4 linked regions of the Arabidopsis thaliana genome follow. The protein of the gene in region 1 interacts with the protein of each later gene in a pairwise test. Each region holds a gene or a part of one and is shown in the gene's direction. Other genes may lie near its edges. The genes, in order: AGO1, AT3G02750, NTMC2T5.1 and FSD1.

Region 1 (9,593 bases):
TTATTGTTTTATTTGTAATTATTCATTTTCATTGATATCTATCGTCGTGTCAACATGATGTATCGTCCGTATACGAATACTCAATTACCAAAACAATGATAAGAATTCAAATGGGTTTTCTATCAAGTAGCTTTCTGTTGAGTATACCAATTTGAGGTAAAGACCAAAGTAACCAGTGAAAAACTAAAGAGCCGTCAAATCAATTTAGATGAAGAAAAAGTAACATTGAATACTACTATTAAAACAAACAAATCATTCCACGTGATGACTCCACCACATTCCCAAAGTTTAGAAAAATTATCAAACCCTGTCATAAAGTAACACTTGCCTAAAATCGCAGGTCTTTTTTTCTACGAAAACGAAAGAGAGTTTTGTAAAGTAAATTCATATGATCTGCCCCCACCAATTCATCATTTATCTCTTTTTTTTTACCGCTTGTTAAAACTCATAATCAATGCATCCCTTGACCTTAGAACAAAACCTGATGAGTCCCACACACATGTCACTTCGCTGTCCATGAAGTTTTTTGACCGGAGGTCAAAGTAATTTAATTGACTTGATGTTAAGAAATGATATGTGCAGAGAATCGAATGTTTCTTTGTGTGTGTGGTGAGTGTGTGATGGATATAATTATTGGAATTGAAATGTAATTTATGTAAACTTCTAGATTTCGAAGGCATAATAACTCTCTAAAATAATTGAGAATTGGATAATATCCGATGATTAAGATAGCATTTACTTACAAGTAATGTTTTCGATAGAATTAATGGTCACTATCCAAATTCCAAACCATACGCTAATGGCTTCCAAAGGAAAACTAAGACTTTATGGAGTTTTACATAAAGTCTTCGTTCAAACATCATTTTCATAAGTCTTTTGTAACTTTCTTCCTCTTAACGGCTTCCTACAATATCTCGATTTAGAACTCCAATCAACATCTAATATTTTGTCTACAACTTTATGTTTTTTCACCTTACTATATGATCTAGACAATCTTTTGTTAGGTAAAGTGTCTAGATATTCTTTCACCTAATTAACACGGAAACGTAAACTTGTACAAAAACATCTATTGATTATAGAAGAGAACCGAGCCGTGAGAGTCGTTTCTCGTCAAGACCGCACCAATCGACTCAAACATGAGCCAAACTGTACGTAGTTCTTATAAGGAACACAAACCTCCATCGTAAACCAACGTTTTCGATCGGTTCTAGCTAGACTCGCCATGCATGCATGTGCGTTGGTGCCCGTAATTACGTACACCAATCTTGATTGATATCAATGCTTATATGCCGTTAATCTTCATCTCGACTCTCGAGGTAGTAGTACTTGACGAGTTCTAAGTTCTTCTTCCGTTATGAGAAATCATATATAAGTTCTTCTATACATCTCGCTTGATTATTATAATCTTTCGCCTTTTAATTTCTCGTTTGATTATTATAATTAATGTTTATAATGAAAAGAATCATTATTTCCCAAAGCAAACGAATCATTTTGAGATAGACTTACAGTTATCACAAAAAGAAATCTAAACGTTTTCCCCAAGATTTAGCCTTTCGTCAGCATGTAATTACTCGTGACATATTCTCTAGCTCATATTTCTTCTTCACGCACGAGCAACCAATTTTGTTATATATGTATAAATCATCTTTGACAATTATATATAATACAGATTTGTTACGAGTATATGAATTTTTTTGAGGTACAGAAGCAAATCAACTAGTGAAACTAAATTAAAGAGCTAACCATCAAATAAAGTAAATTGAATTAAACAAACAAATCATACCACGTGATGACAGCCACCACATTCCTAAAGTTAGAAAATTGGCAAACCTGTAAAAAAGCATCACTTCCCCGAAATCGCAGGTCATATTTCTATGAAAACGAAAGAGAGTTATCTATATAGTAAATGGCTATATTCATATTTGCCCCACCACCCATGACCCATCTCAGTTAATAAATAGTTCTTCTATTCACCTCTATACTATAATCATTCACTTTATCTTATATATAGTCTATAAAACTAAACGTAATTCGCATGATTTTGCCTTTCGTTGCATGAAAAATCCTCCTTGACAATGTACAATTCGTTAGTACTACTCGATCAGTCGCCTTGACTCACGACATTTTCTCTAGCCACTGTTTTATCTTCACACACAAGTACCAATTTTAAACTGTTGTACTTAACTGTATAACATCCTTTATACGTAACGTAAGCCAAAAATTATGATCTAATCAGTTACTACAGATTAATAATAAGATTAATAACGGCCGGTCTACTAATTTTGAACACTTGTGCATGCATTATCTCTCGTTGAAATAGTAAATTAATGCAACTAACTTTACAAGATTAATCGAGGTATATTATAGTCTAAAACAAATATTTAAATTAATGCAACTAACTCTTGAAGATTAATCGAGGTAACGCATCACACTAATCATATTTAATCGGATAATACATATACTGTTAGTAAAATAAATTAAAAAAGATTTGGTAGATAAACGACAAAAATGTTTTTCGTCTTGTTGTTTTCGAGAAGCTTCTTTTTCCGGATTAAAAAAACATTATGCAATTCCACGTCATCAGCGCATTACAAACAATGAAAGACTACACACGACCTTGGGTCAGCATTCCAAAGACCCAACCCTGACTCGCCACGTCGACATATGCCAGCTATTAATGAAGAGGGTAATTCCGTAACTTACTCTAACCACAGAACCCTTGAATTTAAAGTGTAGCAGTAAAATCTCATTTCTTTGAGTTATCTCGTTTGTTCGGAGTTAGAGAGAGAGAGAAAGATATAGAGAGAACACAGAGAGGCGAGAGCGACGTAGGGTTGGTGTTTCGTACGGATTTTCTCGGTCAATCTTAGTTTCTCCGGCGAGAGATTGCTTTTCAGGTAAAAATGGCGGCGGTTTTGGTGTTTGTTCTTCACTTAATCTGTGTTCGATCTGCGTATGAACTCGATTTTTCCACTCGATTGGGTGGATCCGCTTCGTTTTGGTGTTATGGTTCACTGATAGTGTTGTATGTTTAGTTGATCTTTGCGATTTCGGATCTATTAGCTTCGTAGCTGTTTTGGTGTGTGTGTTCGTCTTCGAAGATATTTAGGTTTTTTTTTTTTGTTGCTTCAAATTTCTTACTGTTTCGTGCTTGTTTTCTTACTTCGTTTTCTGTTTAGGTCTTTGATTGTTTCTTACTAGGTTTTCTATGTTTGCTTTGGGCTGTTGAATTTGGTTTTCTATCTCTCTAGCTAATCACTGGTTTTCGTGCTTCTGAGTCGTTTGTTTTTGAAGCTAGTTAGGGTTTTCTTCTGTTGCTTCTATATTTCGATAGTTTTGTGCTTGTTTTCAATGTTTGCTTCTTATTTTCAAGGATAATTTTAAAATGACCCACTGTTTTTGGGTGGTTGTGTTATTTTCACAGGAATCATCATGGTGAGAAAGAGAAGAACGGATGCTCCATCTGAAGGAGGTGAAGGCTCTGGGTCTCGTGAAGCTGGTCCAGTCTCAGGTGGTGGACGTGGTTCACAGCGAGGTGGTTTCCAGCAGGGAGGAGGACAACACCAAGGTGGAAGGGGTTATACTCCTCAACCTCAACAGGGAGGTCGTGGTGGTCGTGGATATGGGCAACCACCACAACAGCAACAACAGTATGGAGGACCACAAGAGTACCAAGGAAGAGGAAGAGGAGGACCTCCTCATCAAGGAGGTCGAGGAGGGTATGGCGGTGGCCGTGGAGGTGGACCTTCTTCTGGACCACCGCAGAGACAATCAGTTCCCGAGCTGCATCAAGCTACCTCACCTACTTATCAAGCGGTGTCTTCTCAGCCTACACTGTCTGAGGTGAGTCCTACCCAGGTACCAGAACCTACTGTTCTGGCTCAGCAATTTGAACAACTCTCTGTTGAACAAGGAGCTCCCAGTCAGGCAATCCAGCCTATACCTTCTTCTAGCAAGGCTTTCAAGTTTCCAATGAGGCCTGGTAAAGGACAGAGTGGAAAGCGTTGCATTGTGAAGGCTAACCATTTCTTTGCTGAACTGCCTGATAAGGATTTGCACCATTATGATGTGAGTTTTGTGTTCCCTTAGTATTAGCTACCATACATCTAATGTCTATTTATAAATTTACCTGACCAACTGTGTTCTTTCTGTTAGGTTACCATTACTCCGGAAGTTACATCAAGGGGTGTCAATCGTGCTGTGATGAAACAACTTGTTGATAATTATCGTGATTCTCACCTTGGAAGTCGTCTTCCAGCGTATGATGGTCGAAAAAGTCTTTACACTGCTGGTCCACTTCCCTTTAACTCCAAGGAGTTCAGAATCAATCTTCTTGACGAAGAAGTAGGGGCTGGAGGTCAAAGGTCTAGTTCTTATGGTTTCTTGTTGATTTTTTTAATAAGGAAGTTTCAGAATAATAACATCTTTCCTATTTTACAGACGAGAAAGGGAATTTAAAGTTGTGATCAAGCTAGTTGCACGTGCTGATCTGCATCACCTAGGAATGTTTTTGGAGGGGAAACAATCAGATGCCCCACAGGAAGCTCTGCAGGTTCTTGACATTGTTCTTCGTGAGCTGCCGACCTCTAGGTACTGGTTACTCATCCTATGGATGTTTGCTTCTTTACTACCATGCTTGTAAGTCTCAGCTGGTTTAGTTTTGCTAACATGTTAGAATCAGGTATATTCCGGTGGGCCGGTCCTTTTATTCCCCTGATATAGGAAAAAAACAATCATTGGGGGATGGCTTGGAGAGCTGGCGTGGATTCTACCAAAGCATTCGTCCTACACAGATGGGCTTATCACTCAATATTGGTGTGATGGCTTGCTGTATTACATTCAATAATTTTTGATATCTGGTTCTCCTTGAATGTTTAACTCATGGTTGTGCTGCAATTTTGTCTGTTTTGTAGATATGTCATCGACAGCCTTCATAGAGGCAAACCCTGTGATTCAGTTTGTCTGTGATTTGCTTAACCGGGATATTTCTTCTCGACCTTTATCTGATGCTGATCGTGTTAAGGTATGAATCAATTGTCATTTTCTGTAGTAAGTGAAATGTTGTATTAATCTACTCTTCTTTGCTTAGTGACTTGGAATCTTCTTCTGTCAACAGATAAAAAAGGCTCTTAGAGGTGTCAAAGTTGAAGTGACTCATCGAGGAAACATGCGCCGGAAGTACCGCATTTCCGGTTTGACTGCTGTGGCCACTCGGGAATTGACGTGCGTATTTGTTTTAGATTTACTACTCTTATTTCGCGAATGTTGAACTTGATGAAATTAATTTTTACTCTCTGTTTTTATCCTTTTCAGATTCCCAGTAGATGAAAGAAATACTCAGAAATCTGTTGTAGAATACTTCCACGAAACATATGGTTTTCGCATTCAGCACACTCAACTACCATGCTTGCAAGTTGGGAATTCTAATAGGCCTAATTACTTACCAATGGAGGTAACTTTGAAATACGTCATCAGGTTTTATTAGCTCACCAGTACTTCCGATTCTAATGTGTTGCTGCACAGGTATGCAAGATTGTTGAAGGCCAGCGGTATTCCAAAAGATTGAATGAGAGACAGATCACTGCTTTGCTGAAGGTTACCTGTCAGCGCCCGATAGATCGAGAAAAAGATATCTTACAGGTATGTTTCTTTATTTTCGATAACTTTGTTTTCCTTCACTTGAATCAAGAGTATCTTTTTGTCCGCCTATCTTGATAGTCGTTTTAAATAATGTATGCTGGTGATAAAGCCTCATTGTGGAATAGATCATTGTAAAATCTGTTTATTCTTACTTGGTTGCATGTGTTTACTTGAAGTAAGTGATTTTCTCAATTCATATCTAACTTGTTTTTAATCATATAAACTTGTGGCTGAAAGGATGTTATGGAATGAATGGCTTAAAAACCTGTTTCTTCTTTACTTGGATGCATATGTTTGCTTGAAGAGAGTGATTTACCTTGAGATGATGCCTTTACTTCATAAATAGTGAGGCAGATTACCATCTTCAGAGTTGTGCTCTTAATTTAGCAGCGCGTGTGTCTTCTGGCTGCTGTTGTTGAAAACTCAATTGTTTATTGCTAACATTATACAATATTTTCTGATTTCTAGACGGTGCAACTCAATGATTATGCTAAAGATAATTATGCTCAAGAGTTTGGCATCAAAATAAGTACTTCTCTGGCTTCTGTTGAGGCTCGTATACTGCCTCCTCCATGGGTATAGTAATCGTTCCCATTGTCTCTTTGCTATTACACTTTTTCTCTGTATCTTAATGACTCAAATTAGGGTTCCAATCTGATTTTAATGTTCTGCAGCTTAAGTACCACGAGTCTGGAAGGGAAGGGACTTGTCTGCCACAAGTTGGTCAATGGAACATGATGAATAAGGTAACTAGACGAAAATGTTCCTGGTTTTCAACTATGCACTTACATGTTTCTTGCTTGTGTTACCTATATATACCTATGCTGTCATTTTTATGTGAATATTTTGTAAATCATGGCTGAGCTGTATATTTCCAGGTAATTGGCAAGAAAATTGTTTATTTATTTGTCTGTTATGAGACATATTACTCTAAAATGCTATTCTCTTGATATGAGTATGGGTGTGGCACTTGACTAGTTGCAGAGAGTATTTTGTTCATGTAGCTATGTAGATACACACTGAATTTGTCTTTGTTATTTTTTGAAAGTGATCACAACGTTTTCTGTTGTCTGGCTAATATGAGTCTTCTCTGCAGAAAATGATCAATGGTGGAACGGTGAATAATTGGATCTGCATCAACTTTTCTAGGCAAGTGCAGGACAATCTAGCGCGTACATTTTGTCAGGAACTTGCTCAAATGTGTTACGTATCTGGCATGGTGAGTCTTTGGAAGCACAAACTTGATCAGTTTATTAACCTTTCCTACACTGATTCCTTCCCTTTAATTTTTTATTTCTTACCTGCAGGCATTTAATCCGGAACCAGTCCTCCCACCAGTCAGTGCTCGCCCTGAGCAAGTAGAGAAGGTCTTGAAGACTAGATATCATGATGCCACATCAAAACTCTCCCAAGGAAAAGAAATTGATCTGCTTATTGTCATTCTGCCCGATAATAATGGATCATTATACGGTATGAGCCATGGTCTCGGATGTTTCATTGTCTACTTCTGCTTAGGAACACACTCTCAACTTATTTTCCTTAATAATATCCATTGCAGGTGATTTGAAACGCATATGTGAGACTGAACTCGGCATAGTCTCTCAATGTTGCCTGACAAAGCATGTCTTTAAGATGAGCAAACAATACATGGCTAATGTTGCGCTGAAGATTAATGTGAAGGTTGGAGGAAGAAACACAGTGCTTGTTGATGCTCTATCTAGGCGGATTCCTCTAGTCAGTGATCGACCCACCATTATATTTGGTGCTGATGTTACCCACCCTCACCCTGGAGAGGATTCAAGCCCATCTATTGCTGCTGTAAGTTAGCTTCTCCTTTAAGATCTACTTCTGTATATGGATGCTTTTGTTTATTTTCATGGCCTTAACCTTTTCAAATTGTGCTTGTTTTGTTGACAACGAAATTTTTGTTTTCAGGTTGTGGCATCTCAGGATTGGCCTGAAATCACTAAATATGCTGGATTAGTTTGCGCTCAAGCGCATAGGCAGGAGCTCATTCAGGATCTGTTCAAAGAGTGGAAGGATCCTCAGAAAGGTGTGGTGACTGGTGGCATGATAAAGTACGTGTGGATGTTATTTAATATTTTCGTGATTGGGTTTTAGCTTTAGCTTGCTCTTAAGTAACAGATCTGTACGTTTCTCCCCTTACTTTTGAACAGGGAGTTGCTCATAGCCTTCCGTAGATCAACTGGGCATAAACCACTAAGGATCATCTTCTACAGGTATTAACTCTTCTTATGGCACTTACTTGACTAAATAACTTTCTGTCTTTCTTTCTGAAATGTATTATATGGTTATTCTGCACAGGGATGGAGTCAGTGAGGGACAATTTTACCAAGTTTTGCTCTATGAACTTGATGCCATCCGCAAGGTAACAGTTACTTCTAACAAATGGCTTGTGTTGCGTGCTCGTTTTCTTCTGTTTAATCTGATTATTATTTCAACTCATTTCAGGCCTGTGCTTCGCTGGAAGCAGGTTATCAACCACCAGTGACATTTGTGGTGGTGCAGAAGCGTCATCACACGAGGCTGTTTGCTCAGAACCACAATGATCGCCATTCGGTGGACAGAAGTGGGAATATTTTACCTGGTGAGACAAGTTTGGATCTTTGTCAAGCTTTTTGTGCGTAGACCTAATCAGCTGAAAATCCCTTGCATTGGTTTTTAACCCCTTTGTTAATTGTAGGCACTGTTGTGGACTCTAAAATCTGCCACCCTACAGAGTTTGACTTTTACCTCTGTAGTCATGCTGGTATTCAGGTATAATTTACAATCTCAAATGAGTTTGTGGGTGAGAATTTATTTGAAGTGTTTAACAAATCAAAACTCCATTAACAGGGCACTTCTCGACCTGCTCATTACCACGTTCTTTGGGATGAGAACAACTTTACTGCAGATGGACTTCAATCTCTGACCAATAACTTATGTTACACGTAAGATTTCTTACCTTTGTAACATATTCCTTGTTACAAGTGTTTGCAAGATTGCAAGGAAAATAAGAGTAACATTTAAACTACCTTTTTGATTTGTACAGGTATGCAAGATGCACACGCTCAGTTTCAATTGGTAAGTTTTGTGTTTCCCATCCCTTAATGTCATCTTGATTTTGATATAAAGAAGAGAGAGATTTAGTATTCAATGTTTTTTTTTTTTGTTTTGGGATATTGTAGTTCCCCCTGCATATTATGCACATCTAGCAGCTTTTAGGGCTCGATTCTACATGGAGCCAGAGACATCAGACAGTGGCTCAATGGCTAGTGGGAGCATGGCACGTGGAGGTGGAATGGCTGGTAGAAGCACACGCGGGCCTAATGTCAATGCTGCAGTGAGGCCACTCCCAGCTCTGAAAGAGAATGTGAAGCGTGTCATGTTCTACTGCTGAGTTGATTCACCCTCTATCTATCTTTATGACCTAAATTAATGAAGAATATCATGTATGCTTTCTAAGACTTATCGTGTGTTTGGATATTTCATCACTCTTTCTCTATGAGTATGAGATGCTTTATGACTCTTGTTTGACAACTACTAAAATTTATTATTCAAAACAGACTTTGATCCTTTCTTTAACTCGTCTTAAATCTTTATTCAAGAGATTTTGTGTTTAGAGATGTTTAGGTTGTTTGTATTGTCGACCACACTACTACATTGTAGGTATAAGCGTTGAGATCCAGGACTAAAATCCTGACTACAATTCTTTATATGTAGTCAGGACTAAAATCCTGACGTTATCACACAAGTAAACATGTGGTTTTGATTTAGAGGTTTGCGTGGAAAATGCCTAAAGTGGAACATTTACAAATTTTAAATTAGGCTGATTTTACTGCCTCTTTTATGCTTTCTAGTTTCTCTCACCCTGTCGGATATTTGCAGCATTTATGGTAAATTCTTCAAAGCCCATTAATTGCCATATATCAATCTCTCTCACTGATTTCATG
Region 2 (6,621 bases), on another chromosome or scaffold:
TCCTGGTTGGTTTTTTCTTTGGCTATGTTCTTAATTCTGGTTTGTTTAAATAGGTGAAACTGAATCACCGCAAGTTGCTTGATGGAATGCTGGAGATATGTGGAGTACCACCTGAGAAATTCAGAACCATCTGTTCGAGTATCGACAAGCTAGACAAGCAATCGTTTGAGCAAGTGAAGAAAGAAATGGTGGAGGAGAAGGGCTTGTCTTCAGAGATTGCAGACAGAATTGGCAACTTCGTTAAGGAGAAGGGAGCTCCTTTGGAGCTGTTGTCTAAACTGAGACAAGAAGGGAGTGAGTTCTTAGATAACCAGTCATCAAGAGAAGCTCTTGATGAGTTGAGTATCATGTTTGAAGCTCTTAAAAGATCAAAGTGCAGTGAGAGAATAGTCTTTGATCTAAGTCTAGCTAGAGGTCTTGATTACTACACCGGCGTCATCTTTGAAGCTGTTTGTATAGGAGCAGAGGTAAAATCCCGCATTTTGGCTTCCTGCAATTCAATTAAAGAAATTGTAGTGTATGGCCTTTGAATTCTTCTTTCTGCAGGTGGGATCAATTGGTGCTGGTGGGCGATATGATAACCTTATAGGAATGTTTGGAACAAAGCAAGTCCCTGCGGTTGGGATGAGCCTGGGAATCGAGAGAGTGTTTAACATAATGGAAGAACTTAACGAGAAACAGAAACAAGTAACTTGCCAAACCCTTATGCTGTTTGTCGACCTTGTTTTAAAAGAATGGTTTTTGAAGTTTGTGTTATTTGCTATGAATATAGGTGATTCGACCAACGGAGACACAGGTGTTGGTTAGTATAATGGTGGATAATAAACTAGCGGAAGCAGCAGAACTGGTAAGTCAGTTATGGGGTGCTAAGATCAACGCAGAGTATCTAGTGAGCAAGAGGAAAGAAAAGCATTTCAATCGTGCAAAGGAATCAGGGATTCCTTGGATGGTGATGGTAGGCGAAAAAGAACTCAGTGGAAGTTTTGTGACATTGAAGAAGCTCGAGAAGGGAAGTGAAGAGAAAGAAGATCAAACATGTACTAGAGATCGTTTCGTGGAAGAATTGAAGAAACTACTCTGAGTCGTTGAAAAGAAATGAAAGGTACACACACTCACTCCTGGTTCGATGCCCAGACAAAAGGAATCACAGTGTTTTGCATTCTTTTTTGCTGTTTTCCTTGGTTTGTTTGATAATGGTGTTTTGCATGACTCATGATTGTGGAGACAAGAACTTAGAGATTTTGATGTTGATGAAGTTTTCCGTATTTAACTAATTAGAGGAGATATACGTAAATGTTAAGCCAATTATCAGAATTACGTTTCTTTCAAAAAAATCCTTATCCCTGATAACCTAATCTGCGATCTTATCAGAAAAAAGAAAGAAAAAATAAGTAGGAAATGAGGTGGAAGAATATAAGACCGAAAAGAGAAAATAAAACACAACAGGTAAGGTTGTCTCCAAAAATAAAAAAAGTGATCTGCAGATCTGTGTGATCGCATTTGCATGAGATGAGAGGAAGAAAGATGGTACGTGTTGGTTTCTGTACCTCTCTGCCGACATGTGGTGGCTTCAAGTAACTAAGGTCACTTGTGTATTCACATCTCACGTTTCCATTGACTATTGTCTCTACTCATTTTCGATTCAACTACTGAAAATATTTGGTAAGAAACAAACAGGCGATTTACCATCCCCTACTGATCATTTATATAAAAAAACAATGAGTTCTTTGGTTCCTTAAATAAGAAGAATTCACGGTGGTTATTCTTTTATATACAATAGTTTACTAAGCGATACAATAATTAAATCTGATAAAGAGTCTCACCCTCATGGGATGATTGACTGATTGTGAGACCCTAAATATGATTTTGATCTAAAAATAAATGATCTGTTTTATTGAATTTTCACAATTTTAATAATTCTTCATATTATATATTGATGATATTCTAGTGGATGTCGGAAAATTATGTGTAAGAAACGTCTTATCCAAGCCCATGTTAATTCTGCCAGCCTGAAACAAAAAAAATATAAATATTTTCATACATTAATACGTAAAAAATAATAAAATAATGATTCATCAGAAAGAAAAAAATCTGATAACATAATTTTTGGATGTATTATTAATATAGTTTTTTTATTATTAGAGAGAGTGACCCATCTCCATTACTGTTTCTATCTCTCTCTTCTCCATTCTCTCTCTCTATAGAGACACACAAAAGTAGAAAGACGAAGAAGAAGAGAGAACGGGTTTGTAGTTGGTGGTTGCGTTTCTTTCTCGTTTATATTCTTCTTTCTTTTTTGTTTTCATCTTTCAATTCCTTTTTTTCTTTTTTGTTTATAATCTAATCGACGCACGAACAGAGCAATCTCAAGCTCTTCTTCTTCCCCACAATTGAATCTGATTCTGAGATCCTCTTACCTTCTGTTTGATCTCTCTGTTTCCTGGTGAGTCTCCTTTCAGCTCGAATTCGAATTTGGCAATTCGATATTAACAAGTTTAGTTTTTTTTTTCTCAATGATTCTTCTTTTGATTGGTTGCAGACGAAGGAGATATTGTAGAGAAAGAAAGGGGTTCTCATGATTCTCGTGTTTTGAGTCTCTTTCCAGTATAAATTAAAACTTACACTTGTCTTTCTTTTTCTTTTTGGTGGAAATCTACGTAGATCTGTTCCTTTTTTCTCATAAAACTTTTGGGTTTAAATTTCTGTACAAATAAAATATTTGTAAGAAGAAAAAAACGTTTTTTTAAACAAGACTCGAAAAGGGTCAGACCCAGAAGTCTCATCTTTTACCTTTTTTCTTGGTCAGCTTTGAAAGGCTTCATCTTTTTTTTATTCCGTTTTTTTTTTCTTCATTCAATTTTGACGATTTGGGTTTAAAAATCACTGCTTGTGTATGTATGTATACTGGTTGTTGACGAATTAGATTTTGCTCAAAAGGGTTCTTGCACAAAGTAGCTGGAACTAAATTTTGAGGTTTGTTTCTTACAAACTAAATCATCATATCATCCTATTACTCTTTGTGGTGATCATTGGGATCTAAAGACGGGTTTTGTCTTCTTACAGAGATCTCTTTTGCATAGTTTGAATCATCATTGCTCTTTCCGGTGAGAATTGTGATCTAAAGGTTCAATCTTTCTCGCTGGAGGACCGTCGGGGTGATTGTACCATTGTTGGTCTGGAGTGCCTGCTCAATATAATCAGGGCCCTTAAAATGGGGTCCTGTTTATCTGCAGAGAGCAGGAGCCCTAGACCGGGCTCTCCTTGCTCTCCTGCTTTTAGTGTGAGGAAGAGGAAGAACTCTAAGAAGCGACCTGGTTCTAGGAACTCTTCCTTTGATTACCGGAGAGAAGAACCGTTGAATCAGGTTCCGGGCCGGATGTTCTTGAATGGATCAACTGAGGTTGCTTGTATCTACACTCAACAAGGCAAGAAAGGGCCTAATCAAGATGCCATGGTTGTTTGGGAGGTTTGTTAGATCCTCAAGTCTTCCCCCTTTTTTTTTTTTTATTGTTTCTAATTTGGGATCTGAGGTCCTATTGTTTCTTCTTCACTGATTGTTTCCTGTTTTCGTGCTCAGAATTTTGGTTCGAGGACAGATACAATCTTCTGTGGAGTGTTTGATGGACATGGTCCATATGGTCATATGGTTGCAAAGAGAGTCAGAGACAATCTTCCTCTCAAATTAAGTGCTTATTGGGAAGCAAAAGTACCAGTTGAAGGTGTTCTTAAGGCAATCACCACCGACACTGTCAATAATGTAACCAACATTAACAACCCTGAAGATGCTGCTGCTGCTGCTGCTTTTGTCACTGCTGAAGAAGAACCTAGGACATCTGCTGACATGGAGGAGGAGAACACAGAAACCCAACCGGAATTGTTTCAAACGCTGAAAGAGTCGTTTCTTAAGGCTTTTAAAGTTATGGATAGAGAGCTTAAATTCCATGGAAGTGTTGACTGTTTCTGCAGTGGGACAACAGCTGTAACCTTGATCAAGCAGGTATTGTCTCGGTTTGGTATGTTCAAAGTTTAAGTCTTATTCATTGTTTCATGATCTTTATTATGTATCCTCTGCAATATTGCAGGGTCAGTATCTCGTTGTTGGAAATGTTGGGGATTCCAGAGCTGTAATGGGTACAAGAGACAGTGAAAATACTCTTGTCGCTGTTCAACTAACTGTGGATCTTAAGCCAAATCTCCCAGGTTGGATTATCTTATGTGAATGTATGATGTTGTCCTGTGGATGTATGATGGATCCATTAATCATGTTTATTGGGTTTTTTTTTATTCCCTCAATTGAACTTGCAGCTGAGGCAGAGAGAATAAGAAAGTGTCGAGGACGAGTGTTTGCTCTTAGAGATGAACCTGAAGTTTGTAGAGTTTGGCTGCCAAATTGTGACTCACCTGGACTTGCTATGGCACGTGCTTTTGGTGACTTTTGCCTTAAAGATTTTGGCCTAATCTCTGTGCCTGATGTATCTTTCCGTCAGTTAACCGAAAAAGATGAGTTTATAGTGTTGGCTACAGATGGGGTAAATACTCTCTCTCTCAGACACATATCTTTTCTATTTGCAATTTTTGCTGCTCACATTTCTTTCTATTGTGATAGATTTGGGATGTTCTCTCAAATGAAGATGTAGTGGCGATTGTAGCTTCAGCTCCATCGCGCTCCTCTGCAGCAAGAGCTTTAGTCGAGTCTGCGGTCAGAGCTTGGAGATACAAATACCCGACTTCCAAAGTCGATGACTGTGCCGCTGTTTGCTTGTATCTAGACTCCAGCAACACAAACGCCATATCTACAGCTTCTTCCATCTCCAAACTTGAAGATGGAGAAGAAGAAGAACTAAAAGCCACGACTGAGGATGATGATGCATCAGGACCAAGCGGTCTAGGCCGTTCGAGTACTGTCAGGTCGGGGAAAGAGATTGCTCTCGACGAAAGTGAAACTGAGAAGCTGATAAAAGAAGCGGATAACTTGGATTCAGAACCTGGAACAGAGTATTCTGCACTTGAAGGTGTTGCAAGAGTTAATACACTTTTAAACTTACCAAGATTTGTGCCTGGAAAGTGAATAGAGAAAGAAGAGTTGAAGTGAAGAAGTTGAGAGGTGATTAATGATATCAAATAAATCACCCAAGACAAGGTACTGTGTCTTTTTGTTCTTTTGTTTTTCCTTTTCAACTTTCTTCATTGATCTCTATTCTTTTTTGAGTCATAATTCATTGGTTTTGGAACCTAAATTTTTGTCAGTTTTGTCTTTGGTTTATGTCTTTCTCTCTTGTTAATGTTTATGTTGTTTTTTGGTCTTGTCAGTAAAGAAGAGTGAAAAAACATCACATCATGTAATAATGGCTTGTGTCTGTAATTCTGTGAATCCCCTCAGGCTTAATTTTGTCAGTCTGTTGGGACAATTTCCTGTTTCTGTCTTTTCAAAAAGCTCCAATTCCAGTTACAGAATTTGTGTCAATCCCTTTCTCTCGATCATGAAAGTGGCAATTGTTTTTCAAGAAATGGGAATCAGTTCCTTTAATGATAAACAACAGAAGGAATAAACTTTGTCCCAAGAGGGTTTTTATCTGAAACTATAAAGCAACGTTACAGAAGAAAGGAATTAAGAGAGAAACAAGTGTAAGAAGTTTTGTAATAGCTAAAGAAGACGACCATGAGAGGTTGTGAGCACCAACAGTATAGATTGCTCCACTTTCTTCATCCTTGACTTGTATTCCTCCTGAGCCTGTGTGATTCAGTATTTCATTACAGTCAAAACACACCTAATACATCAAATCTCATAGAATTTGTGGCAATAAAGACAAAGATAGGATTTGTAATGCTTACAGTTGTGATTGGTCCATCCAATGACTTGGTTTTCGATATCGTAGACAACTAACTTGTTAGAGAGGGCCATGTCTGCGCAGCGAAACAAATCAACACTCAAATTTTTTCAGCAATTTCAGGATGAAAGTCATTTTTAAAAGAGATATATGTACCTCCAAGAATTGTTAATGAAGCTCCTCCTTTAGTCTGCAATCCACCATTTTGCCAGCCAAAACACCATGTGTCTTCCTATAGTCAGTTTTTTATGTCAGAACAAGAAAACAAGAACACGAAGTTAGAAACAGGAACAAGACTTACTCGAACTTGGAATAGATATTCCCGAGGATAAACCGCCAATGAAACAGACTTGTCAAACTGAAAAGTGACAGTTGGGAACCGATCTAATCTGTGAATTTGACAGAAAATTTCAGAGGGTCAAAACATCAAACATTATATACTAGGTGTATAAAATCAGTCATTCCATCAGATTCAGCTAAATCCAACTCCATTTCAATTCCAAAAGCAAAAACTAGTACATTTCCAGCAAATAACAGTACCATTTCAAACATTCTCACTAAACACCAAGAATGACAAAGCGATGAGTTAAATTCTTACTTGTCTGTATAATGGAAACAAGTAAACGACTCTTGAACTGTATGCAAAGTAAGCTCTGGATGTGAAGCCAATATCTGATGGAAACTCAAGGGAAAAAAACATAAGTGTTAAGAACTTTGTAAAATAAGACAGAAAGAATTCACAAGTAACAGAATATAGTACTGACCTCATTCAGTAACGGGTTATAAACAGCAT
Region 3 (8,094 bases), 730 kb from region 1:
ATGATTGATTCCTTTATAATTTCTGTTGTTTTGTTATTGTACAGTCTCATCCGAATCTAACACCCCAAGATCGAACAGAGATATGTCGATGTCTCAACTACAAGAAACTAACAATGGAGACGTGCAAACAGCTCGCCAGAAACCCTAAGATCCCTCCAGAAATCGCCATTGAAGCACTCAAGTCCAGATGTGGGAATCAAGAACACACAACTTCAGATGTTAAAGTTGCAAACAAGAGTTTTTCTTGTAGATATTCAGAAGAGAAGAAGAAGCCTGTAGTATTGCATCTCGAGATAACAGAGAAATTAGCCGAGAGGTTGAAGACTAAAGGAGGATATAATTTGAAGGTTATGGATAGTTTCAGAGAAGGCTTATGAGGAAAATGGTAAACGTCCCAAGTCATGATTCAGCAGTCACATCTTCCAATTCATCTGGCAATCTCATTTGCACCCCAACAGTGTCGAGAGTCTTGTACAAATCATCAGATTCAAGGGGTTTCTTATCATCGAAAGCTATGAATTCACAAAGCTTGCCTTTCACTTCGATCCAACTAAATCCTGGCGATTTCACCACCTGTTGATCTTTCATTTGCTTTCTTACCCGAGCGACTTCATCCCAGTTTTGGGATTCCGAGTACAAATTAGCCAAGAGAGTGTATCTCCCACTATGACTAGGTTGCAGCTTGATCACACGGGAGGCTGCGTATTTACCTAACTCATAGTCTTTGTGTAACAAACAAGAGCCGAACAGAGCTCCCCATACCACATTTGTTGGCTCCATTGGCATTCTTTCTATCAAAGCTTTCGCCTCTTCTAGCAAACCTTTTCTTCCAAATAAATCAACCATACACGCATAGTGATCCGCTTTTGGCTCCATATTGAAACGTCCCTTCATGCTCAGGAAAAGCCTTCGACCCTCTTCCACAAGACCTCCATGAGCGCAGGCACTTAAGACAGCCATGAAAGTAACTTCATTTGGTGAAACATGACTACTCAACATGGTATAAAAGAGATCAAATGCATCTCTAGCATATCCGTGTGCTGCAAATCCATTAATCATCGCGGTCCAAGTATACACATTTTTCTCATGAAGTCTCTCAAAAACAAGTATAGCTTCCTCTAAACACCCGCACTTGACATAAAGATCAATCAATGTAGTTCCAGCTGTAGTGTTTATCTCAATCGAATTCTTAATCATATAACAATGCACCCTTCTTCCTCGGTGAAGTGCCCCGACATGAGCGCACGCCGAAAGAACACTGCTTAGAGTCTTCTCATTAGGCGCAACATCACTCTTTAACATCTCCTCGAAAACCAACATCCCTTTATCGAAGCAACGGCTTTGCACATATCCAGCAATCAACGCCGTCCAAGTAACCACGTTTCTGCTAGGCATTTCATCGAACACTTTCTGGGCATCATCATAACAACTACATTTCCCATACATATCTACTAGAGAACTTCCTATGAACACATCGCATTTCACTCTCCCTGTTTCTAAGTAAAGCCCATGAACGCTTCTCCCAAATCGAACATCTTCAACCTTCCCTGCAGCTTTCAAGACGCTAACAACGGTCATTTCGTTAGCCGCGACTCCAGTCTTCTTCATCTCCACGAAATACACCATTGCTTCCGAAGCAGAACCATTTCTCACAAACCCATCAATCATTGCAGTCCAAGTAACCACGTCCTTATCTTCAGCTCCATCAAAAAGACGACTTGCAAAATCGAATAACCCAGAACTAGAATAACCCGAAATCAACGAATTCCTGACAAAAGGATCCGAATCCAACCCGAATTTAACGATATGAGCATGAAACTGAAACGGGTTCGAGTCTCTCAGTTTGAAAACCGCTTTGAGAAGCGGAGGAAACGTGTGGCGGCTAGGGATGACGCCGTTTCGCCGCATATGACGATAAGCAAGAAATGATAACCGACGGTTGAGAGTAATCCCGCCGGAGAAGTGACCAATGAGCGAATCCCATAGTTGAATGCTCAGAGTTTGGAGTTGACATAATAAACGACGAGCGTAGCGGAATTGAGTTGCGGCGGTGCAGCAGCGACGGAGAAGACGTGAGAGAAAGAGATCGCGACGAGTATAGAATATCGGAGAAGTTAGGAGTAAGCAATGGATCTGCTTGAGATGAAGAAAGTGTAATGGAAGATCAAGCAATGTTTTGAGCTCAATCATGTGAATTGAGAAGTAAGCAAAAGAGAGAGAGAGAGGGGGTGGTTAATACTTCAATTCGAATTTTCCAGTTTTCAGATTTCAGATTTCAAAGGAACCGAACCGAACCGACATTAAACCAAAATTCCCATTCAATTGAATCGAAGTGACTCTGAATATCAGTCGGTTTAGTTTTTATATATTTTTTTTAATAGCCGTAGAGGGGGAGACGAGGGTTCGATCCACGTGTCAAACAGTCCAGAGAAAAAAACAGAAGTAAGAAGAGAAGAAAATGAACTTCTTCTTCTGCAATTTTTCTAACTTTGTTAGCTTCTACAGATTTTGCTACGAGCCATTGGAGAAACTGTTATTGCCCTAAAGATATGCGTTATTTTTCTCCTTCTTCTTCGGATACGATTCATAGATGATTCCACAAACTTCTTCTTCGAATTTTGATTTCCGATTACCTGTTGATGTGTCTTGCACTCTGCTCTGTCCATGCTCTAATGAGCTCCGCGCGGTTTTTTTTACAAGGAGTCGGGTTCTGCGTCCGAGCGTCAAAATTTCGAACTTTAGGTTTATTTCCTGTGGATTTCGTGGGAATTCGAAAAACCTAAGATTGACGGATTCTAGTAGAAAGGCTGCAAATAGGTTTGTAATTGCTAGGTTTACGAATGAATTTGAAGACGAGGGTAGTTCGAAAGAGTCCAATGACCAAGCCAATTTCAGTAACTTTAGGGAAGATCCGATAGTGGATAAGCTTAGGACCCAGTTAGGTGTAATCCATCCACTTCCGTCACCGACCATTAATCGTAGTGTAATTAGTCTATTCGTCTTCTTCTTTTTCGTTGGTGTTGCTTTTGATAAGCTATGGACTTGGAGAAAGAGGCAAAGAGAAACAGGTGGAGATGGAAACCAACGAGGAGTAGGGCCATGGCCACAGGTTCCCACCAGCTTCTCTTTGTTCCTAGAGAAGGATTTGCAAAGGAAAGAGTCCGTGGAGTGGGTCAACATGGTGTTAGGGAAGCTCTGGAAAGTGTATAGAGCGGGTATTGAGAATTGGCTCGTTGGTTTGTTACAGCCTGTGATTGATGACTTGAAAAAGCCTGATTATGTGCAGAGAGTTGAGATTAAGCAGTTTTCTTTAGGGGATGAGCCGTTGTCTGTCAGAAATGTTGAGAGGAAGACATCTCGCCGTGCCAATGACTTGCAGTACGTGTATACTTGTTTGGTACTAACAAAGTTTTCTGCGTTGATTAATTGCTGGGATTGCTCTTACTTGGTTTCAATTGTATATTGTTTTGCAACCATTGAATCTCTTGATGAGATTTATTTGGCTTTCATTTCAGTTAGAGTTCACGAAATAATCTTCATTTGAAGAGTGACCTTTCTTTGAGCATGATTTATGTACATAATTTGGGGCATTGGCTACTTCAAACTGTTTATCTGTGGCTCAGTTCGAGGTTTCTTATCATGTCATTCTTTCCTGTTATAGGTACCAAATTGGCCTTCGGTATACTGGCGGTGCACGCATGTTGTTAATGCTCTCTTTGAAATTCGGTGTTATCCCAATAGTTGTTCCAGTTGGTGTCCGAGATTTTGACATTGATGGTGAGCTTTGGGTCAAACTAAGATTAATACCGACACAACCTTGGGTGGGAGCTGTATCATGTTCGTTTGTATCACTTCCAAAGGTCACATTTCAACTTGCAGCATTCAGATTGTTTAATCTAATGGGTATGCGTTTATCTTGGTCTTCTGATCCATTCCCGTGATATTGTTTGTGTTGCTTCCTTCCTATCCAAAAAATTAAACAGACAAGCCTTTTTTAGTGAAATTTGAAACTGGTGACGATATAATGGGGAAAGGTTAAGTCATCGGCGATTGTTTTAGTGAAGAGAGTTTTAGCTTTCGCGTTCGCCGCAACTCACACATTTTATTTTTCTTTTGTCATGAATGGCATGGATTATGAATTCAGGAATTCCCGTTCTATCAATGTAAGTTCTGTTGTGGCTGTTACTTCACGATTTTTTATATTGAAAAACTGTCCATATCATTGTTCAATACTACATGGACTTAGTGGATAGAAAGGGCCACTTTGCTTGCTTAGATGATGTTCTGTATTTTATCTAACTGCAATGAACTTTTACTAATTTAGCGAGCATATAGTGTAAGATGCTTTGGTGCATTGTTCTGGTTAGATACCAGTATTTCATTTTGTTTACTGTGGAGTCTTTAAGCTCCTCGACGTTTTGCAATAGTGGGTTCCTTCTTCCCTCCTATTATTTTACCCAGCATCGTCTCTTACAGGTTCTTGACCAAACTGCTGACTGTGGATTTGCCTCGATTATTTGTCCGACCGAAGAAAATTGTCTTGGACTTTCAGAAAGGAAAAGCTGTTGGACCTGTTTTAGAAGACCTGAAATCAGGAGAAATGCAGGAAGGCAATAAGGATTTTGTCGGGGAACTATCTGTTACTCTTGTTGACGCCCAGAAACTTCGATACATGTTTTTTGGTAAGCTATAGTTCCTTTACATGTCAGTGTTTCCTTCATAGTTGGAAAAGTGGAATAGACAGACAATCTATTGCTGAAGTATCAGCCTCTTTGTGCAAGTTCAGTCGACTTTCTTGGGAATAAAGTAGCTATACTAATTGAGTCTATTGGTGAGATGTTTTGTTTTCCTCGGTAATTGGTAACAGGTAAAACGGATCCATATGCAATTCTCAGATTAGGGGATCAAGTTATCCGTAGTAAAAGGAACAGTCAAACTACTGTCATTGGGGCTCCTGGTCAGCCAATTTGGAATCAGGTGAACTGCTTTGGATGGTTCATTCACAATCTGGTGGTGAATTATGATTATTTAAGGATTGAAATGTAAATAGATAAGTGTGTATTCTTTAACTTTGCAGGACTTTCAATTCCTTGTTTCAAATCCTAGAGAGCAAGTATTACAAATTGAGGTCAATGATCGTCTTGGGTTTGCTGATATGGCTATTGGTACTGGAGAGGTAAATAATATTTCCTTGGGTACATATTTTTTTTTGTAATCTGTAGAATAATAGGCGTTGAGTACGTATTCTGTGGATCTCTTTAATGATTGCTTGAGGAATGTTGCTTAATATTTATGTTACTGTCTGCATAGCCTTATTATTTAGTTATATGTCCAGGTTGATCTCAGATTTCTGCAAGATACGGTTCCTACAGACAGAATTGTGGTTTTGCGTGGTGGTTGGAGTTTGTTTGGAAAGGGATCTGCGGGTGAGATACTGCTACGGCTTACATACAAATCATATGTGGAGGAGGAAGAAGATGACAAGACCAATGTCAAAGCCATTGATACTTCTGACGATGAAATGTCTGATTCAGAAGAACTTGGCTCATTTGTGCGGAAGGGAAAGCTTTCGTCAGATGATATTGATCAAGAGTCATTTATGAACGTGTTGTCTGCATTGATTGTGAGTGAGGAGTTTCAAGGCATAGTTTCATCTGAAGCTAGAGACGGTATAATTGATGGTGGTGACTCACTTGGGGCACCAGTACCTTCTAAGCCAGATACTAGTAAGGGGTCTGAAAGAAACGCAGATGTATCAAATTTGGATTTGTTAGTTGCAAATTCTGGTAGAGGAGCTGGCGGTGATGGAGGTATACCGAGGCTCAATCTCTTACGATGATTTCCTTTCTATGCTTTCTTGACCTGAAACTGTAAAACCTCCTAATTTCAGGATTAGCATTACTGTGGTTCGGTATTATCACGGGTATATTGGTTCTTGTTGCTATCAACATGGAAGGCTCAAGTTTCTTCAACCCGTAGTATAGTACTATACATCTCGCTGGAGATTTCTGTTGCAAGTAAGTCTCTTAATATATACCTCGAGAACTTGAAATTTCTTCCCCTGATGTGATTGGACAGACAGATTCTCTTTTTGTCAGTTGTTTTCCTTATATTAGAACGTGGAACAACACTGGTTTGTTCATATAGTCAAGAACCAAACTTGAACTTCTTTTTTCCTAGAATAATTATGCTACTTGAAACATTAAAATTGTAGATTCTGTTACTCTTTCTGCTGCTTGTAGTGTACCGAAAGTCAAAACTGGACATCAGGCTTTGTATTTGATAAAATTATGTGTGAATTGAAAATGAGTCAGTTGATTCTTCTACCTTGTGTGACATAGTTCAGTCCAGATATTTTCATGTCAACCTTTTGCCTACCGTGTGTGATAAGCTTATCAAGGCCTCTTTATTTTGTGGCAGGTCTGGTGGTCATCTCTTCTCAACCTTAGATATGGCTTATAACGAGGTCTCAGTTTTGTAATTTAATTTTGTATGTAAATAGCCATTAGAAGAGGGACTCTTACTAAAGGCAGGAAGGTTTGGATCTATTCTGTCCAAGCTCTCACTGTTGTGTTACTCTTTACACTTGTGGTTGATATACAGTACATAAAAAAAGATAGAAACTTTTGTATATTTTGACCAAAAAAAAAAGAGAAAATTCTGACTTTTCGGAAATAAAATATAATCATCGATTGTTTCAATAGGATTGGTAGTAGGAGCAGAACTTGGTTCGTGGAACCATCCTTCATTTCCATTCCCTTATGGTAAGATTGTGGTATTTCATGATTCTCAAATAAAGTTTGACAAAGATAGACTGATCGAAAAGGTGGAGCCTCTTGTTAACATGGGACAGATTAGTTGTGTCGCCGCTGAATTCCATGATCTCACTGATGGCAGACTCAATAATGGTTATGGTATTGAATGAAGCTCTCACGTCCATGTTCTGTTGAGGCTTACAAGACTGTTCTAGTTGGTGGGGAAGTTGTCCGAACCGGAACATAATCCAAACCGAACTGAATTAAATTTTTAAAATTAAACCGAACTGTCCGACCACTACAAAGTTTTTTCGAATTTGCACATTAAATTAATTAATTTTTGTGGCATTTTGCGATCAGTTAACGAGTGGATATGAGGTAGCAAACGTAGAAAGGACTCGAGAAGTCATGGCTTCTGCTTAATCTCCTCTTCCTTAAAAACCAGAAGATCCTTTGTTCCACGTTTCTCGTTTGTAGCTTCTTCTCTCTCAGAATTCAATTCGAATTTTGACAAGTCTTGACGAAGAAGAAGAAACAGAGCTGCTTCAATGGCTTCTAACTCATTACTACGTTCTTCTTCAAATTTCTTCTTAGGATCCCATATCATAATCTCATCTCCCACCCCTAAAACCACCAGAAAACCCTCTTTCCCTTTCTCCTTCGTCTCCCGTGCTAAATACCAAATCACTCGATCGTCTCAAGACGAAAATTCGCCAAATGGTAAACCCAATTCGCCATTCTCGTCGCAAGTAGCCTTAGCAGCTATTCTACTATCTTCAATTTCATCTTCGCCGCTAGCTTTAGCTGTAGTGGACGAACCAGCTTCTCCGTCTGTCGTTATAGAATCTCAAGCTGTGAAGCCATCGACGCCATCGCCATTGTTCATTCAGAACGAGATACTTAAGGCTCCTAGTCCTAAATCATCGGATCTCCCAGAAGGATCACAGTGGCGATACAGCGAGTTTCTTAACGCTGTGAAGAAAGGGAAAGTCGAGAGAGTTAGATTCAGCAAAGATGGTTCTGTTGTTCAGCTTACTGCCGTCGACAATCGCCGTGCTTCAGTCATCGTCCCTAACGACCCTGACCTTATTGATATCTTGGCTATGAACGGAGTTGATATATCCGTCTCTGAAGGAGAATCCTCAGGCAATGACTTGTTCACTGTCATTGGAAACTTGATTTTCCCGCTTTTGGCCTTTGGTGGACTCTTCTTGCTTTTCAGGCGAGCTCAGGGAGGCCCTGGTGGTGGTCCTGGTGGCTTGGGTGGTCCTATGGATTTCGGACGTTCTAAATCCAAGTTCCAGGAAGTGCCTGAGACTGGTGTATCATTTGCAGATGT
Region 4 (6,575 bases), on another chromosome or scaffold:
ACCCGCCGCCAACACCTTCTCCGTACACTCACGCGCCGCATGCACCGTCTCCATTCAACCACGCGCCTCCAGATTCTTACCCGTTCACTCACGCGCCTCCAGCATCGTCTCCATTCAACCACGCGCCGCCGGGTCCTCCACCGCCGGTACATGGACAGAAGCGAGCGGTGATAGTCGGGGTTTCTTACAAGAACACAAAGGACGAACTCAAAGGATGTATCAATGACGCAAACTGCATGAAGTTCATGTTGATGAAGCGTTTCCAATTCCCTGAATCTTGCATTCTTATGCTCACCGGTATTATTCTATATCATAAAATGTCATAATTTGTGTAACACGTAAAAGTAATGTTAAAAGTGTCAAAATGTTGTAGAAGAAGAAGCGGACCCAATGAGATGGCCAACGAAGAACAACATAACAATGGCGATGCATTGGCTTGTTCTTAGCTGCAAACCGGGAGATTCCCTCGTCTTTCACTTCTCCGGTCACGGCAACAACCAGATGGACGACAACGGCGACGAGGTTGACGGCTTCGATGAGACTCTTCTCCCGGTGGACCACAGGACTTCAGGTGTCATCGTGGACGATGAGATCAATGCTACAATCGTACGGCCGCTCCCTTATGGAGTTAAGCTCCATGCCATCGTCGACGCTTGTCATAGTGGTACCGTCATGGACTTACCTTATCTTTGTAGAATGGACAGGTACGAATTCAATAATTATTGACTTCTTGTTATGTACGTGTGTATGCAGACCTCGATAGCTTGTAGAAATGTTTAAAAAAACAAAAAACAAATGGAGACCATATAGTTCTTATATTGGTTATAAACCCTATACCCTATGAACTAACACAAATAAGAAACTGCTTATGCATAGCACATGTAACCCATTTTTTTTTCTTTTCTTGATCCTTCGTTTTAGGCTCGGAAACTATGAATGGGAAGACCATCGGCCTAAAACAGGAATGTGGAAAGGTACGAGTGGCGGTGAAGTCTTCTCCTTCACAGGCTGCGATGATGACCAGACCTCGGCTGACACTCCGGTACATTCCCAACTATTGGCCATATAAATAATCTCTCTAGATTTCAAACAACTTTTGATAGTATTTAGCAAGTCCAGTCAAACCATCCACATTTTATAGTTTCACCGAGATGTTATAGTCTTATAGTAATTACCCCATACCTTCATTCTAAAAGTACTCCTCACAAAGAAACGTGTGTGCACTACAGCAATTGTCAGGGAGCGCATGGACGGGGGCAATGACTTATGCATTCATTCAGGCCATAGAACGTGGCCACGGGATGACTTATGGGAGCTTGCTGAATGCAATGAGATCAACGGTTCATGAGATCTTCGACAAAAACAAAGGTAGAGAGCTTGTGGAAGTGGGAGGTGCTGATTTTCTCTCTACTCTTCTTGGTTTGCTCATCTTAGGCGCTTCTCCTCCTGATGAGGAAGAGGAAGTAAACCAAGCCCCTCAAAAAACTCAGGTGATCCATTCATCTATACTAATTATTTTTATCTAAACTTAATTATCATGAACAATTATGATCATTAGAGCTCACTCATATAATATTGCAATATTGTTATGGCTATCTCCAACTTAGAAGGATCTTCATGGACCAACATATTTTAGTTTTTTAATGATTGGTCATACATCTTCAATACATCAAAAACATTAGTTTGAAATTTCACATTTTTACATTAGATATTAGAGATCCAAAATGATGTAGTTCTCACCTATAAAAAGAAAATTCATAATAGGGATCGATTAGAAAATATGTAAGGAAATACTAATTAAAGTCACGAAATTAGTCTTGTCTAATGGAAAATTAAATCGGTATAAATTCTAAATATAACTTGATGTATATATAATTGATATAGTAGTGAATGATTTTTGTAGCAAGATTATGTGAATTGATTTGCATTGTTGACAAGATATGTTGGTATATTGGATTTGCTTCGGCAGGAACCACAGTTGAGCGCTAACGAGGCATTTGCTGTATATGAGAAGCCCTTCTCTTTATAATATCACCTTAAGAAGACAAAAGAATGAGTATGAAATTTCGGAGACCAACAAAAAAAACTTTATTGAGCTTGGAGTGAAGCTATATATATGGGGCAAGATCATAATATGTTTATATCGGCCTTTTCATTAACTGAAAATAATAGTTTTGAGAAATATATCAAATGGTAAACAGACATCATCTTTGAAAAATACCATCAATGAAGTTAATATTGTTATTGGCATATGGTTTACCCATCTTAATTTTAATGCAACCAAACAAACAAGAAACAAAAACTGTATAAGATACAAGGTGTTTTACGATTTTCCGTCTTAAAACCGAAATATTTTTGTTCCTACGACTTTAAACGGACTTTGCTTAAGTTGTGTGCATGTAAGCTCGTCGTCCCTCGATTGTCATCAACATTCACCAATATCAGCCTCTATCACACGAGTGAAGGTGGTGATTCGGCTTAATGAAAACAGAGAAATATTTCAATATGATTCCTATTAAATTTTAAATCTTTTTTCTCAATCTCTAGATTTTCATTAAAAGCATCATGATTTTTTTCCACTATGTTCATATATCTCTATCACAGTTTTAGGTACATTGTAGAAATTGGATAAGATACGTCATACGTCTAACATGAATTTGGTCTAGCAAGGAAGGTTTGAGATAATAAGTGAAAAGAAAACACAAGATAATAAATTATAATTTATAAATGCTTTATAGTATTGAAAAATAAGATGATTTTTTTTTTTTTTAATACCGGATTGGCTGATCCACTTATGATGACTCAAATGTTATTAAGTTTCAAGACAATTTATGATGACACAAATCACAATGAGTCAATAGTAGCCACGAAGCCAGAAAAAAAAAATGTACTACAAAAAGATAATGATAGTACAAAATGATACGTCGTACTGCCACATGTACGACACAACTCGATTACCAAAAAGCAGAGCCATCCAACCATAAAACTCAAAACACACAGATTCCACTGGCGTGTGCTCTCCTCACTTCACTCGTCCTTGAAACTTGAGGTACTGATTCTATCTCTCATCCACATCTTAGTTCATGTTCGAGTTTCTCTGGTCTCTTACTCTTTCACCTAGAAATTTGTTTGGTCTCCCAACAACATAAACGCATGTATACATTTTCATGTGTCTTTGTAAGGATATTGATTCATTTTTTTGGGCAAATAGATAATCAATTCAATGCTATGTTTTGTCTGAAATGTGCAGCTTCAATTACAAAGAATGGCTGCTTCAAGTGCTGTCACCGCAAACTACGTCCTCAAGCCACCTCCATTCGCACTGGTACTTTCTTATGATAAAGATTGATATTGTCGGCAAATGTCATTTTGTTTTCGTTGGACTATAGATTTTGCTTTTCTATTACTAGATGATATAACTTGTTGCTCCCACAAAGCCCTAAAAATATCTTTTCATCCTCGTCAAAGGCGTTACAAATGATTTTCAGCTATTATTAACGGAAAACCAATACCAAAAAGGCGTTACAAATGAACTCCTCTAATTCATATTTGAAGAAAATAAAAATCGAATCAATCTACGCATTAGTGTTTTTCCCGGAAATTAATTGTAGGAACGGGTCAAGTTGGGTGGTCCATATTGGGTAAAGGCCGTGAATGTTCTAGTTGGTACGTACTATCCGACATTTGTCAAATGGGAAATTTGGGTATGGCCATAGGGGTTAGGTATGGGTCAACATATCTGAAATGATTTTGAAACCATAGCTTTCATAGAACATTGATTCTTAATTGACCCTCAATTGAACTAGTGAAAATTTGTTGTTTTTGTATACAAAAACTATCTCAATCTGACCCGTTACTCAAACTACACTAAACTGTCCAAATCATATTACTTTGTAAGAAAATTGTTACGTTGTGTAATGTCAATGTTAGATTCATAAATCTTTAACTAGTATATGACCACTCCTAGTTCAAATTCAGATGTTCCTTGGTCTGATATTTTCGTTCCTTCTAGTGGACCTATTGGTTGAGTCATGAGTGAGAGCAATAGCCAATATGATGAAATGTTTTTTTGATATAAAATTGGAAAGGATGCTTTGGAGCCGCATATGAGCAAACAAACTCTGGAGTTTCACTGGGGAAAACATCACAGAGCTTACGTGGACAACCTCAAGAAACAGGTTCTTGGAACCGAGCTTGAAGGCAAGCCCTTAGAGCACATTATCCACAGCACTTACAACAATGGTGATCTCCTCCCTGCTTTCAACAACGCTGCTCAGGTGATAATTAACAAACCTATTTTTAGTTTGAGATTATAAAATGGGTGTGTGATTGGTTAGCTGATGATCCATTGGTTATGTTTATAGGCGTGGAACCACGAGTTCTTCTGGGAGTCAATGAAACCAGGTGGTGGAGGAAAACCATCAGGAGAGCTTCTTGCTTTGCTTGAAAGAGATTTCACTTCTTATGAGAAGTTCTATGAAGAGTTCAATGCTGCTGCAGCCACTCAGTTTGGAGCTGGCTGGGCCTGGCTTGCTTGTAAGTGTTTCAAATGTTTAAGAGCTTTAGATAAATATATTAACTTCTTCCTTACTCTTATCTCAATGCTTTCAGATTCAAATGAAAAACTCAAAGTAGTGAAAACTCCCAATGCTGTGAATCCCCTTGTGCTCGGCTCTTTCGTAAGTTTTTCATTAAGGAACTTGAATACACAATTTACTTGATTAAATATCACCGTAGAGTTAATGCAAATCCTTAACTTTTAATCTTGGTTAATTTTCTTGCAGCCATTGCTTACCATTGATGTCTGGGAGGTAAATAAACACTTTTATAGCTTGTTTGTCTTAAAACCTATTTTCTTTCTTACAAATTTTATTGATAATTTTTGTTTTCTTTTGCTACATGAACAGCATGCTTACTACCTTGACTTCCAGGTAACAGCTTATTCATAATTGTTAGCAACAAGGTTTTCTTGAGTTTCTTTGTGTTGTTGATTGTTTCAATCTATTTGTATATGAGCAGAACCGAAGACCAGATTACATAAAGACATTCATGACCAATCTTGTGTCTTGGGAAGCTGTAAGTGCCAGACTTGAGGCCGCCAAGGCTGCTTCTGCTTAAGCAAATTTCTGAACAATTTGACTTCAGTGACAGTGAGTTCTGCATCACCGAAGTCTCTTATAAAATATTGGTCGCTGTAATAAGGACACAGCTCTCTTGTTGTGTATGTGTCACAGAGTTCTTCATTTTGCTTGTGTAATGAACAATTAAACATGCTCTTTTCTGAGTGTGTGTGCGTTTTGTGTGTGTCAAGTTTTTCATCGTCTCCTTTATTAAACTCAAATTGGCACCTACCATCAGTAATTCATAGTTTGGCATGGCCCATTATTCAATTGGACATTTATAGTTGTAATAACGTGGATGCCCCTGTCCCATTAAAAAATCACAATTCATCACCATAGCTGTTAACAAATCTCGCATTGCTGTGCTAAAAAAATGAGAAATATTGATATAATAGATCATTTTGATTTTTGGATAAACAAATCAGTTTACAATGTTAAGGTGGAAGACTTTAGACTTGAACTAAAAAACAAAGATGTTAACTGTAACAGGGTAAGGACGTTGGTGTTTACTATTTTGATATTTTGACGTTGGTTAGGTAATTGACTTAGAGCTTTTGATAGATGAATGATTAACAAAGGAATTAGAAGATGGACAACCATGTTGGAAGAATTTTGAAATATTACATTTTTAATACTTAGGTGTTAATTGTCTGATGAGGTTTTGTATTCGGGTCTTTAATTAATCTACCAATGAAGAGAGTTGACCAAAAAAGGCAAAAAAAAATTGTGGGCCAGTCGGCCCATGTCTTATTTTCTTTGAATATGTTTAGCTTATTTATCTCTCTGTATACATGTTGGAATATATTTTGTGCGTTATCTAATATAGTGGTTGTTGATTGTGATGGTCTGATGGACGTAGCCGTTTATTTAAAAAGAATAACTAAGCGAAAATTTCAGGTCGTCTCGTATTACATGCCAAAGAGTTTCTAAATCCGCCAGAGCATTGACTTGAGATGCAAGAAACAAATTATTTCGTTTAATCATCATTTTCCTGGCTCCCCCGTTTTGTTTCCCTTTGAGATTGTCCGTTAAAAAGGGGACGAACCAATGCAGAGAGTGAGCTTTGAAGTAAAGGACACAGAGGCGGAGAAGAGCAGCAGCGAGATACTGAGCGGATCTTTGCCGTCGACCTACCGAAATCCGGCGATGGAAAACGTTGGAAACGCGGTGGATGATGGATCGAGCGTGAAGAACAATCCGAAACTTGATATGCAGAAACAGAACGGTTTGGTGAAGTGGTTCAAGAAGTGCTTGACAATGGTATCTGGAGAGAGTAAGGCACCTCGATTGGACCGGTCGAAGTCAACGGCCGGTCAGGCCTTGAAAGGGCTCAAGATCATCAGTAAGACCGACGGTAACGCTGCCTGGACCGTCGTGGAGAAGCGGTACTTGAAGATCACGGCCAATACTGATGGATTGCTGCTTCGGTCGAAATTCGGTGAATGCATAGGTAAA

What was found.
Region 2: the proteins of AGO1 (region 1) and AT3G02750 interact in a two-hybrid assay, tested with the Arabidopsis thaliana proteins (one study listed by BioGRID).
Region 3: the proteins of AGO1 (region 1) and NTMC2T5.1 interact in a two-hybrid assay, tested with the Arabidopsis thaliana proteins (one study listed by BioGRID).
Region 4: the proteins of AGO1 (region 1) and FSD1 interact in a two-hybrid assay, tested with the Arabidopsis thaliana proteins (one study listed by BioGRID).

The regions. Positions count from the first base shown.
Region 1 is NC_003070.9:17,885,732-17,895,324, reverse strand, and holds the start of AGO1 (Stabilizer of iron transporter SufD / Polynucleotidyl transferase), read left to right. Parts: upstream 1-2,728; 5' UTR 2,729-2,897; intron 2,898-3,424; 5' UTR 3,425-3,432; coding exon 3,433-4,068; intron 4,069-4,155; coding exon 4,156-4,364; intron 4,365-4,440; coding exon 4,441-4,590; intron 4,591-4,675; coding exon 4,676-4,815; intron 4,816-4,913; coding exon 4,914-5,023; intron 5,024-5,116; coding exon 5,117-5,223; intron 5,224-5,313; coding exon 5,314-5,452; intron 5,453-5,523; coding exon 5,524-5,640; intron 5,641-6,108; coding exon 6,109-6,216; intron 6,217-6,314; coding exon 6,315-6,386; intron 6,387-6,736; coding exon 6,737-6,859; intron 6,860-6,947; coding exon 6,948-7,110; intron 7,111-7,198; coding exon 7,199-7,458; intron 7,459-7,575; coding exon 7,576-7,718; intron 7,719-7,817; coding exon 7,818-7,880; intron 7,881-7,965; coding exon 7,966-8,029; intron 8,030-8,112; coding exon 8,113-8,248; intron 8,249-8,344; coding exon 8,345-8,418; intron 8,419-8,496; and 8 more.
Region 2 is NC_003074.8:592,048-598,668, reverse strand, and holds AT3G02750 (Protein phosphatase 2C family protein), read left to right. Parts: upstream 1-2,913; 5' UTR 2,914-3,211; coding exon 3,212-3,466; intron 3,467-3,577; coding exon 3,578-3,997; intron 3,998-4,082; coding exon 4,083-4,529; intron 4,530-4,606; coding exon 4,607-5,068; 3' UTR 5,069-5,462; downstream 5,463-6,621. Other genes in the region: AT3G02760 (Class II aaRS and biotin synthetases superfamily protein), read left to right, coding at 54-467, 547-687, 773-1,081; AT3G02740 (Eukaryotic aspartyl protease family protein), read right to left, coding at 5,580-5,731, 5,833-5,904, 5,985-6,060, 6,130-6,217, 6,427-6,500, 6,593-6,621.
Region 3 is NC_003070.9:18,616,140-18,624,233, reverse strand, and holds NTMC2T5.1 (N-terminal-transmembrane-C2 domain type 5.1), read left to right. Parts: upstream 1-2,276; 5' UTR 2,277-2,590; coding exon 2,591-3,378; intron 3,379-3,661; coding exon 3,662-3,903; intron 3,904-4,144; coding exon 4,145-4,163; intron 4,164-4,476; coding exon 4,477-4,682; intron 4,683-4,867; coding exon 4,868-4,977; intron 4,978-5,077; coding exon 5,078-5,176; intron 5,177-5,335; coding exon 5,336-5,810; intron 5,811-5,890; coding exon 5,891-5,979; 3' UTR 5,980-6,017; intron 6,018-6,420; 3' UTR 6,421-6,641; downstream 6,642-8,094. Other genes in the region: AT1G50280 (Phototropic-responsive NPH3 family protein), read left to right, coding at 45-377; AT1G50270 (Pentatricopeptide repeat (PPR) superfamily protein), read right to left, coding at 400-2,190; FTSH1 (FTSH protease 1), read left to right, coding at 7,304-8,094.
Region 4 is NC_003075.7:12,883,192-12,889,766, reverse strand, and holds FSD1 (Fe superoxide dismutase 1), read left to right. Parts: upstream 1-2,864; 5' UTR 2,865-3,049; exon of another isoform or gene 3,050-3,250; 5' UTR 3,251-3,265; coding exon 3,266-3,325; intron 3,326-3,611; exon of another isoform or gene 3,612-3,666; intron 3,667-4,088; coding exon 4,089-4,277; intron 4,278-4,364; coding exon 4,365-4,536; intron 4,537-4,611; coding exon 4,612-4,679; intron 4,680-4,784; coding exon 4,785-4,811; intron 4,812-4,907; coding exon 4,908-4,931; intron 4,932-5,019; coding exon 5,020-5,118; 3' UTR 5,119-5,467; downstream 5,468-6,575. Other genes in the region: MC2 (metacaspase 2), read left to right, coding at 1-297, 374-704, 922-1,042, 1,230-1,490, 1,970-2,029; AT4G25090 (Riboflavin synthase-like superfamily protein), read left to right, coding at 6,168-6,570. UniProt on the Arabidopsis thaliana protein: Destroys superoxide anion radicals which are normally produced within the cells and which are toxic to biological systems.